Linked DNA regions of Schizosaccharomyces pombe. The gene in region 1 interacts genetically with each later gene. Each region holds a gene or a part of one and is shown on either strand. Other genes may lie near its edges.

Region 1 (3,758 bases):
CACTAGAAGATTTCCTAACAAATGGGGATGAGATTGCTGAGTTTGTGGCTGCGGGTGAAACTACTTCAGGAGTAGGAGACATGCTAGACTCTGTGAATTGATCGGCGGATGCGACAGATGGAGCAAATGAAAAAACATCGTGATCGTAATTGAATGGGGGAAGATATGTAGAGTCAACCATGTCCTTTTGATTGAACGCAAAAACATTATTGGCAGCGGACTCACCAACGTCAATAGACATGCTCATGTCACTGAGAGGGGAGCTTGCATCCATTACCAATGATTCAGGCATCTTTTTCGGGGTACCAGTTGTCTCTGCTTGACTACTGGCCTCGTCACTGCTCATGTCGGAGCTGGCAGCGGCAGCAGCAGCAGCAGCAGCGGCAGGTACGACAACGGAAACGCGGTAAGGGCCAGGAGCACCACCGTTAGCAGGAAAGGCAAATGGTAAAACAGCAGAATTATCAGAAATTTCAGAAGTTCCAAGCTGATCAGCAAGATCATGCATACGGATGCGCTCACGCTGTTTGAGCGCTTGAATATGAGAATGATTAGATTGAGCAGCGTTGTTGCTATCCAAAGAATATTCTTGAGGAACAGCAGAATCAGTTGCCAGAACGGCGTGCTGCTCTTCATAATGGTGAATAAGTTGATGCAAATCTTCGAGAGTTTGACCACAGCAGCGGAAATCACGGCAAAATGCTTCTTCTAACCGGTTTAGATAAGAGGTAGAATCCTCTTCGGGAATCGTTTGTGACTCAACCACGTTAGAAAGAGATGGAATAGTATCACGAAGCCAAGCTTGTCCACTAAAGCTATTTCCCCAAGACTGTGGACTCATTCCAAAAGAGGTAGCATGAATGCTGTTAAAGGAATTTCCGTTGTAGTTGACATTGTGATGGGAAGGCTTATTGATAGGCAATGCGAGAGATGGCATATTGAAAAGTTTTTAAGGGAATTAATAAAATTAAAGAGATAAAAGAGAAAATTAAAAGATAAACCGATAAATAGAAACCAAATTAAAAATTATATACCAATGATGAAAAAATAGAATAAAAATAACAAAATAATTTAGTAAGTTATTTTTTGAGAAATCAGGGAATAATGCACTTAGAAAACTCGACTTAAGGAAGGCAAGTTCTTAGAGAGCGCTGAGAGGGGTAAAAAAAGGCAATTAAAAAAAGACTGAATGTAAAATCTAATGAAATTCGACGAACTATAAATTCGAAAAAAAAAGGAAAAAGTTTCTAAAAGAAGAATTTACCAAGCAAAAAAATGAAGGTAAACTATTTTTAAGCACTAAATTACCCAAGTGTAATTAGTGTATTGTAATGTTTTAAGTGGAAACCCCAAAGTGACTTATCTAATTTTTTCAGTCTAAACAAATTGGCGATTAACGGATGATAAATGTATAATATAAATAAGATGAAAAGAAAGGGAGTAAAAACCTTTTAAAGAATCCTTTTTAATCAACAAAGAAAGTCAAGTAATAACGAATCGAGTCGAGGAAACTGTTCGATTCGACTTTTTTTTAAAATAAAGCGAAATAGTAAATAATTTACGCTTTGATTCAATGAACAATCGAGATCAATCGAAAAGAGTGGTGATACTTCAAAAGAGTAATCTTTTTTTTGCAGGCAACTAGTGGACGCAATATATGTTGCAAGCGAATTTTTTTTATAAATATGTTTAATTTTTTTTAAGTTGAATATATGGTATTCAACAACAATTCTATGATTGTACTAACTCCCTTAAGTTAAGTAAGTATATTTGCTTCTGCTTCCTTCGTGTCGTCCTCACGTTGAAGTTAGTCAGAATAAGGCGTTAAGAAGGGTAGGACGGTGTTTAAGTAGTAATTGATAAGGTGATTTAGCAAGCCTTCTCGTTACGTATGTATAAAGGTAACAAGGATAAAAGGGTCAAGTAACAGTGACGCCGACTATGCGAGCGAATAACAGTGAAGCTTTCAGACTTAAACACCTAATGAGGGGCCCTTAAATATAAGAAAGCCAATCAGAGTACACAGAGTGGATCGAACTTGGATCAAAGTAATTAGGGGTAACAATGCAACTTCGTCAGTGCCGTATCGGAAGGTCGTTACTTCCAATAGATGGGGCCGAAGACAAGGGGCGAATAGTTTCTAGACAAAGGGTCGCAAATGAACGATGGCGGATGGCTTGGAGCTCAGTGCAGAATTAAGCGGTACGCAGCTTAGCGTTATAGTGTCCTAATATACGGTCAAGTGCACACGGGTACAGTAACACACACAATCTTTGTTTATGTGTTTCTCGGAAAATCGAAGCGGCTAAAAACGTTTAGCGATTCAAATGTTGGTTCGGTAATCAAACTTGAGGCAGGGTTCGCAGTCTGGTCACGTTGTGAAGCAGCTAATGGGGAATGGATGGAGGCAGACAATGAAGATCGTTGTCGGTTATACCAAATTTACCGGGAAAGCAAACTCAAGGAATTTGCGAGATACAATGTCCTTTCAAGGGTTAATTGGTAAAGTAAACGACTATGAAATGAAAGAAATATCGTCGTTTAATTGAAATGGAGGAAGGATATTTCTCTTCTTTGTGCTAGTAAAGAGAAGACGGATATTTTTGGAAGAGATGTAAAAAGACAAGCAAACAAGAAAATGAAAATGGACGTCTAGCGATTTTACAAGAAAAAATTAGACGGGAAAAGGGAAAAGAAAAACTAAAGCTTATAGGAAATGGAGCTAAAAAAATATCTAGATAGAATAGCTTGCGAATGAAGAAAAAAACAAACTATCGTACAAGATAAACCAAATATATAAACCTTACAACAACCCAAAAGAAAATGATTGAAAGTAAGGTGAAGATCAGTAACTAACAAAGGAACAGAATGGAATAACAAGTATATAACTAAGTAAATAAATAAATAAAGAATCGGTATTATCACAGATAAATGAAAAGATAATACACACAACGATGAAGAGAATATAAAAAAAAAATTGTTTCGTTAGAATCAAAGGAAGTTTTTAACAGAACGGAGTTTTTTATTTTTTTTCGTAACCAAAAAAGACTTTTAGAAAAATTGCAAGGATTTAGAGCAATACTGATGATTTCATACAAACGATTGGAGAATGGGATGTATTGTATTGAAACCAATGAACTGAATCGAATCGTTAAGAGGAAATTTTTTTTTAATAAACAATGCAGTTTGTGTTTGGCATTAGCGAAATCCACATCCATTATATAGAAATGGAAAGTCAACGTCAAATGTCCAATCTATCAATTCTTCGTTTTCTTCCAGAAACTCTTAAGCATCATTTTCATTATTTAACAATCCCATCATTTGTCCACATATCCACCACACTTAGGTCAGTAGTTGAAAAGATGAAATTCGCAGGCATCACACTCAATACCAAAGGCAATGAATTTACAACGTTTTAATTACATTTCTCAGCAATCTTCTAGGGTTCTGGCCATTGGATAGTTTATGATGCTTCTATATCAAACACACTCTACCATGATGTCAAGGGCGCTGGCGCTATGGCAAGCGAAGGGATATGAACAAGGACCAAGATAAAAGTGATTCTGACTTGGTTCATGAATGAAAAACTACAGACAATTTGATAGGATTAATAATTGAAGAAAACGATAAAGAAATTCATACATCCCAAGGAGTAATCTATCGTCTATGAGAAAAAAATGAAAAAATGACATTAGTAAACAAGTGTCAAGAGAGTATGGGTCAACAACATCAAAACGACATTGTCGCATACAATTCAA
Region 2 (3,742 bases), on another chromosome or scaffold:
TAATTGGAAGATCACTTTGGCCTTCAAGGGATGCCTGGTATAGGGCTTCTTCACGGAATTCTCGAAGCTTAGAAAGTTTATAATGGGCGCGTAACAAATTTGGCATATCAGAGTCAAGTTCTAAATCTTCACGCAACATGTCTTCTATTACATCTGTCTCCTTGACTAAATTATTTAACTGCGATATCATTTGTTTTGTTGCATAACAATTTTTGTATATCCGAGACATGCGACTGATTAACGGAAATTCATCGACCATCTCGCGTGCACTCTCACATAAAGTCAACATCTAAAAAAAAATCAACATTAGTAAAAAAGTCTTTTAGAAAATGTCAAGAAAGCTTAAGCTTCGACTTTACTCACGTTATGCAATTCCTGAAGAAGCTTCACTCTTTTCGTTTGAGCATCATGCAGTGCCAATTTCCCCAACTAAAGACGTAAGTTAGATCAATTACAATTATCGCATTAATTTAATATTTGTGCTAACCTCAACGGCTTCCACGTGCTTTTCGAGCTCCGTTTTCACATGCATATTAAGAGACGCTTGCTCGCGTTCAAATCGCTCAATATGAGTAGATAATCGATGAAAATCCTAAAATCATCAATTGTTAGCTTTCGATCTTAATTCCAAGCATCCTAACAAGGACCACTTACCTCACATTGTCTAAGAATATCCGCTACCCTGACAAAGTTAGAGTAATCGTTTCATAAATGGTATTTTGATAAATAATCCTTACTTGTTATAGACAGCATCATCCGATGCGGCAGCGGTCATTTTCTTAAAGTTATAAGCAGACCTAGTGCTTACAAACGTTTCTATTTACTGACAGATTGATTAATATATTTACGGACTGGTTGTAAAGGCAGGCAGCTTTAAAGCATTGCAATTCATTTCCGTAAAACAAATAATTCTCTCGTCAAACTTCCTTAACTAATTTAAGAAGTTTGTACAGCATAAATTTTAATATCAAATTCACACTCGTAATAAGGTGTAAGGAAAATATTCGCATTGCTCTATTTTTATAATATTTAAATGATAGATTGATAGAATAGTATAGATCTGAGCAAGGGTTTAAATGAGTATTTAGCCAAATTTTTTGTTTTTGTTATCCAAAAATAGTTAGCATACCTTTTTACAAAAATTTAAATAATTGGTCCTGTTCGAATTTACCTATAGTGTTCAAATCGTCTACGAGGCTCATTTAAGTAATAATATATACTTTGTCTCGAAATCATCCTTCTTCCCTATAATCCCAGAAATCAGTATACTTCTTAATTGACAAAAAATCAACAGGAATTTCTTTTCTTTTAACATCCAATTAATAAAGCTCATAATGTGAATTAATGGATTACGTAAAGCTTCGGTATCTGATTTCTTCAAAAAGTGAGATTTTTTCCTGATAAAGTAAAAAATATATATATAATAGATTATTTGTTATATAATCTTCCAATATTCATCAACTGATTGAGGTATAAACATTAAGAGACTGTAGCTAATCTCCGATTTTTCTGCTCCACTAATAGGATAATAAGCTAGTAATTTGAAGCCTTTGGCAAGCCAACCACAGCCTATATTATTTTTTTAAAAATGTATGTCACTAAAAAAAACAGTTTTAACATTTTTTTGTAGGAATGCATCAGAAAAGTTGAGCCAAAAGGCTGCTCAGTCGGTCACAAGAAGGTTTATTACCTGGTTGAAAAGCCCTGATTTCAGAAAATATTTATGTAGTACTCAGTAAGTAGATGGAAAGGTTTAAAGATTGCTATCTCTCGTTTTTTTTATATTATTTATGGTTTAAAAGATTTCTTTGCTAATAAGATAGCTTCTGGGGTCCGTTGTCGAATTTTGGAATTCCTATTGCTGCTATTTTGGATTTGAAAAAGGATCCCAGGCTTATTTCTGGGCGCATGACAGGTGGTATGTGTTAAAAAATAGTCATATCAATAACTTGGCCATGACAATGCGGTTTTGGGGAAGCTCTTTTAGAGATTGGAGTTAGTTTCCTTTTTTCCGCTGATCGTGGTTATCTCTGTTGTCAATGCAGTTATCGAGATGACTTTCTGTATCGTTTAAAAGTTGCTTTTTTGTTAATCTCCTTAGCACTTATTCTCTATTCCAGCGTCTTTATGCGTTATGCCTGGGTATGTTTTGAATCATCTTACTCCTTTCTCCAATATTTGATAGAACTTTTACTAACTAGCGTTTAGATGGTAAGCCCACGTAACTATTTATTACTCGGATGCCATGCCTTTAATACCACTGTTCAAACGGCACAAGGAATTCGTTTCGTCAACTTTTGGTAGTATGTGTATTGAGACTTTGTTATTCTATTGTTTACTAACGACTTATTTAATTAGTGGCAAAGAAGGTGCTTCTAAACAATCTGTTTTCGAGAACATCATGCAAGCAGCCAAACATCCTGAAAGTGGCACTCGTCAAAAGTGAAAAGGGTCAAGTATTTATTCTTTAAAATACGAGTGAACGGATAAGTCACTTGCTCTAACAAAATTGATTCGAAGGAAGGGTATAAATAAGCAAACCTGAGAAATATGTGTTATCGGTTTATTACTTGCTCTAATATAGGAAAAATTCATTTTTCCTATTTAGTTTAGGATTTGCAAATTTTGAAGTCCGTCATTATTTTGTTAATGTACATTCTTTTTTCTTTTTACAAAATGTCTTTTTCTATTTTACTGGTCCGAGACGTCGTATCCTTGTTTTTTGTGGAAGCACAACTAAATTGTTTTGATAATATCAACAATATGTTTTCAGGCAAAAGTTGTCACGTGGAACGATATTTTTATGATTGTGGCTTCTAGTATTCTGTACTTCTTAATACAAAATATTAACACTATTATATGGTAGCACCATGGCGTACTAGTTTTCTGATTTGTCGGTTACTGAATATTTATTGAATATATTGATAACGGTAAAGTCACTTTTTAAAAGAGCAAGTTCAGTTACACAATCTAGCTTTTACTAGGAAAAGTAGTTTCAATTACTTTTTTAATTAATTTTGTGTAATATTCCGATATATTAGATGTTAGGCTTAAAAGAAATCGAAAATACTAACAATTAGGGAGGTCATTAGTGAAAAAGAAAATTAAACAAAATATAAACGATCAACGGTAATACGTGATCACAAAATTGAAGGTCAAAGCATTTCATCACCAAAATTTTTAAAGTTAGGTGAACATGATCGGGAAGTTCAGAATAGCTTTCACATATTTTACACCAGAACGCCAAATGCTTGTAATTCTATTTTTATTTTATCAAAAAATGCTTCATTGACAGAGTTTGTAGACACCGTATCTGAGTATTTACGGATGGCTGTTTGTAAATCCGTAAGCAAGAATTCCAAACGTAGCAACAATAATGAAGGATCCTCTGATGATTCTTCATTGATATTTTTCCAAATTTTTTCAAGATGAGAGATGTGCTCCTTATGCACGATTTGTTGATCAATGCCGTTATCTTTTGTGTTGTTTAAGAGCTCTTTTAAAATGTTGAAATTTTTCTCAAAGTCTGCACAAACAATTTTGTCATTATCCATTGGATCTATAGAAGACCAATCGGTCTGAATTTTATTCTGATTAAACATACACAAGGAAGTTAAATCGGTTTGCTTATATAACGAATTTGAAGCTGAAGAGCATGTCTCGGAAGCACTATCTCCAAAATATGTGGAAGAATCAGTATCGGAATCGCACTTTAAAGAATAGCGATCGCTTCCACTTTGCT
Region 3 (3,518 bases), 2.9 Mb from region 1:
GCAAAGGAGAGGAAGCTTTTGTAGAGTAAAACGAATAGCACGTTTTAAATGACAGCAAGTTTTTGCTGGATAATCTGTAAAATTGTAAAGATCGAAGCATCTTACAAAAATAGAAAAAAAAGGGTATTCAAGGTGTCTATCTGAGACACTAAAAAATCTTTCGTACTTCAAACTGCCAAAATTTAATTTTTAATTATTGTTTAAGAGTTAATTATTATGATATACGTTTTTAGTTGGTGTTCTCCAAAATATTGGTTACTATGTAAGATGAGTCTAACAATATTTTGTCACAGGCATGATGAGAATAAGTTTTAATATTTTTTTCTAAAAGTAGTTTTTAATTAAGCAAGAAAAAACTCTTTTAAAATAAATTAATAGACGTTCCTATCATAGTTCCTAAACCGTTGTTTACGTTAGCCGCCTTGAATTTAGCTACGATTAAGACTACTTTTTGACAAACCGTAAATGTAAATTGATAAATTACAATTAGATACTCGGAAAATTAGAAGGAACCTTAAAAAAAATCAATTAACATGTGCTGTTAAAAACTTAAAGTTGAAGAATAGATACAAACAAAATAAAACCTTTCTATAAATGCTACGGTATTATTCTACATAACAAACTACATTTACTAATCGAATAATAAAAATTAGAACAGGATATTGACTATCAACTCGCGTTATGAAAATCCATCAAAAACTCATTAAATATTATTACAATAAAAACCTTGCGCTGGTACAAAAGAACATGTACATTTTTAATAGCTTAGCTATAAAAAATGCAAGTAATTAAAAAATTTAGCCATTTATAGACGTTATACCAAAACCTTTTTCTTCTCCATTTTCCTTTTTGCATATTTTGGAGGCTGAAAATTCGGTATATTGGAAGTGGCCAGCTTCTCAGAAACCAAATCTATAGGTTTGGGTAATTCTTTTTCAACCGTTGTTTCTGCATTCAATCTTCTTATAATTTCACCATCCTGAGACGAAAACAACGATTTAGCTTCACGATCAATTTCTTCTTCCTCAAATTTCCGCTTTTTGGACTCCTCTTCTTCAATTGATCCATATGCATCTTCCTTTAAGAGAGCGATTGCATCATCAATGTTAACTCGAGACCTTCGAGCGCTCTTTTCACGTAGTTCGTCGAGTGCATCACTAATTTGCATTTGTCGTTTAGTGTCTAATGTTTTTTGTTCTAATTTTTCCATTTCGTCCTCCTCAGGAATGTCATTGCGTTCAGCTAACTCATTTTCTTCATATTCTTGTAATCTTTTTTCATGCCACGGCTCATAATTCCTGGAAGCTCCACTCTCTGCTGCATAATCTGCATGTTTTGGATCGGTTATAAATGTTATTTCAGCAGCACACCTAGTGCAGCGAATATAAAACCTCAATATATCAATTGAAAAATATTTTTCGCCGGTTTTCTCCTTCCTAGCGTTAAACTTTTTTCCTTTATATATATACTCTCCACAAGTATGACAGCGCATTGAAAATGGAGTCATCAAACGAACAGTCAATTTCCCACCATTTGGTCCTTGAAACTTTTTCTTTTTCTTAGGAGGACGAATGGAAGGATCATAATCGGGCGGGATATACTTGTTAAGTACCTTTCGTTCAGACATTGTTGGAAACTATGAAAAAAAAATGAAATGAACGTACGAGAATTGCTTTACCAAATTCAAAAAAAAAGAATAAATTAAAGTAAGGAAAATTTAACCGTCCTTTTGGGTTGGAATTATTTGACTTTACAGATGAATTTGAAAATGCTAGTTTTATGTGGATATGCGCTTTTTGTAAGCGAATGGCAAAAGTACTAGTACTATCTGTAGTTCTTTGACACTCGATACGTCGCGGTAATAAATTGAATGCGCACATAGCACTACGTAAACATATTTAGTACCATCCTTATATTTCCTTATACAATACCTGAGCTGAGCTATCGAGACGTGAGCAAGCGTTGTTTGTCAATCTTACACCTTCCGGTGTTTTAAGAGTACTTTAGATTCCCTTATAAATTGTGTATTATTTAAATGCTTCTGATTAATTTTGACTGATCAGTCTCCATAGTACTTTACGCTTACAGCAATAGACAATTAATGGGGTTGTTGGCATTAATGGCAGGAATAGATGATTTATATGAACTTGGTTAAAAATCGCTGTATTTCAGCTTATGTTCGTCTTAGTAAAGTTGATAGCAATGATCATAAGAAAACACCTGCTATATTAATTTATCATATGTTCATTTAAGTAAAGCTTGTGGAAGAACCCAAGTTTAAAATGGTTTAAAAGATAACTGTATAGTAATTACACAATTGTCATTTTTCGTTAGTTTAATAACTAAAGCTTTGTGAAAAGAAAGACTGACTTATATGTACGTATGTAAATCATTAAAACGAGAAGAAAATAGCTAACGATGTCCGCAACTGAAAAGAATGAAAGCTGACCCGGGATATTCTGAACAAATCTTTTTTAGCAGACAATATCGAAATGGGATTGCCTCCATATCGAGATAAAGTGTTCAACTGGAGAGAGTATATGTGGAAATGGTACCACCAATTTAATGAAAATTCAACTAGATAATGAAGCACCGATTGTTCAAAGTACTATTCTTACAACAACGAACAATTTGATTGAATTGACTTCTTTTAAAATAATACTCCAATTAAAAACAAACAAATTAAGCCGACATTAGCGATATAGAAGTCGGTATACGTTTGTTCATTAGTCTGAGTTGGAAATAACATAACTCAAACAACACCAACGAGTGATATGCTTGGCTATCAAAGTAAAGAATCTAAATGAGTGAAAACTTGAAGAACAGCAGCGACTACCTCAATGAAAAGTAGTTGCTCTTCCTTCACAGAGGAAAGTTCTTCGGAAATTAGCTCAGGCAAGTTAGCGCCAACTGACGAAGAAGCATGAAGATCAAAAGGCCATTGCGAAAAGTCACAGAGAAGCTCGTCTACGCGAGAAAATGCTTTTTCACGATCTTCATAGTTTAAATTGTCAAGAGCGTTTTCAAGAACATTAGCAGCGTATGAGGAACAAGCAAGGGCAACAGTGCGAAGGCAACGAAAAGACAAATATTCTGGGAAAGAAGGTGAATTATCAATTTCAATTACTCGTGAAGTAAGAACAGAGACCACTCTTTTTTTAATGGAATCTTTAATGGAGGTATCGGCAATGGGATGAGTTGGCATGTCGAAAAGTAAGAAATTCTTCTTCTCATTTCTTAAAATCCCTTTGTCAACAAGGCCCTTTGCCAACCGTTCGCGTACTTGTCTTAATTGATATCCAATCTTCATCACATTCCACGTTTCACCACTCATCAAATCAATCCAAGAGGTTACAGACATGAGTTCGCTAGTATGTATCATTTTAATAGCTTCGTCTAAAAGAACCTCACCTGTAAGTTTTTCATCAACCAACTCCACTACACGATCCGCTAACGGAAAGCGTTTACGATTAACGTCTTTTTGCATACGCAACTTTCCACGAAATGCGAGCTCCATT

Evidence for each region.
Region 2: mutations in sfp1 (region 1) and mpc1 together harm fitness more than expected from each alone (negative genetic interaction), as found in Schizosaccharomyces pombe (one large-scale study listed by BioGRID).
Region 3: mutations in sfp1 (region 1) and cwf16 together harm fitness more than expected from each alone (negative genetic interaction), as found in Schizosaccharomyces pombe (one large-scale study listed by BioGRID).

The regions. Positions count from the first base shown.
Region 1 is NC_003424.3:4,432,696-4,436,453, forward strand, and holds the start of sfp1 (transcription factor Sfp1), read right to left. Parts: upstream 1,819-3,758; 5' UTR 938-1,818; coding exon 1-937. Other genes in the region: SPOM_SPAC9E9.01 (uncharacterized protein), read left to right, coding at 2,166-2,202, 2,244-2,506; SPOM_SPAC9E9.02 (uncharacterized protein), read right to left, coding at 2,922-3,218.
Region 2 is NC_003421.2:198,542-202,283, forward strand, and holds mpc1 (protein mpc1), read left to right. Parts: upstream 1-1,560; 5' UTR 1,561-1,588; coding exon 1,589-1,590; intron 1,591-1,630; coding exon 1,631-1,735; intron 1,736-1,823; coding exon 1,824-1,918; intron 1,919-2,101; coding exon 2,102-2,142; intron 2,143-2,208; coding exon 2,209-2,303; intron 2,304-2,358; coding exon 2,359-2,446; 3' UTR 2,447-3,084; downstream 3,085-3,742. Other genes in the region: sec6 (exocyst complex subunit Exo3), read right to left, coding at 1-289, 364-429, 488-592, 655-682, 738-775; mug146 (protein mug46), read right to left, coding at 3,231-3,742. UniProt on the Schizosaccharomyces pombe protein: Mediates the uptake of pyruvate into mitochondria.
Region 3 is NC_003424.3:1,487,956-1,491,473, forward strand, and holds cwf16 (splicing factor), read right to left. Parts: upstream 1,801-3,518; 5' UTR 1,628-1,800; coding exon 815-1,627; 3' UTR 655-814; downstream 1-654. Other genes in the region: F1-ATPase chaperone Atp12, read right to left, coding at 1-100; gpp74 (golgi phosphoprotein 3), read right to left, coding at 2,786-3,518.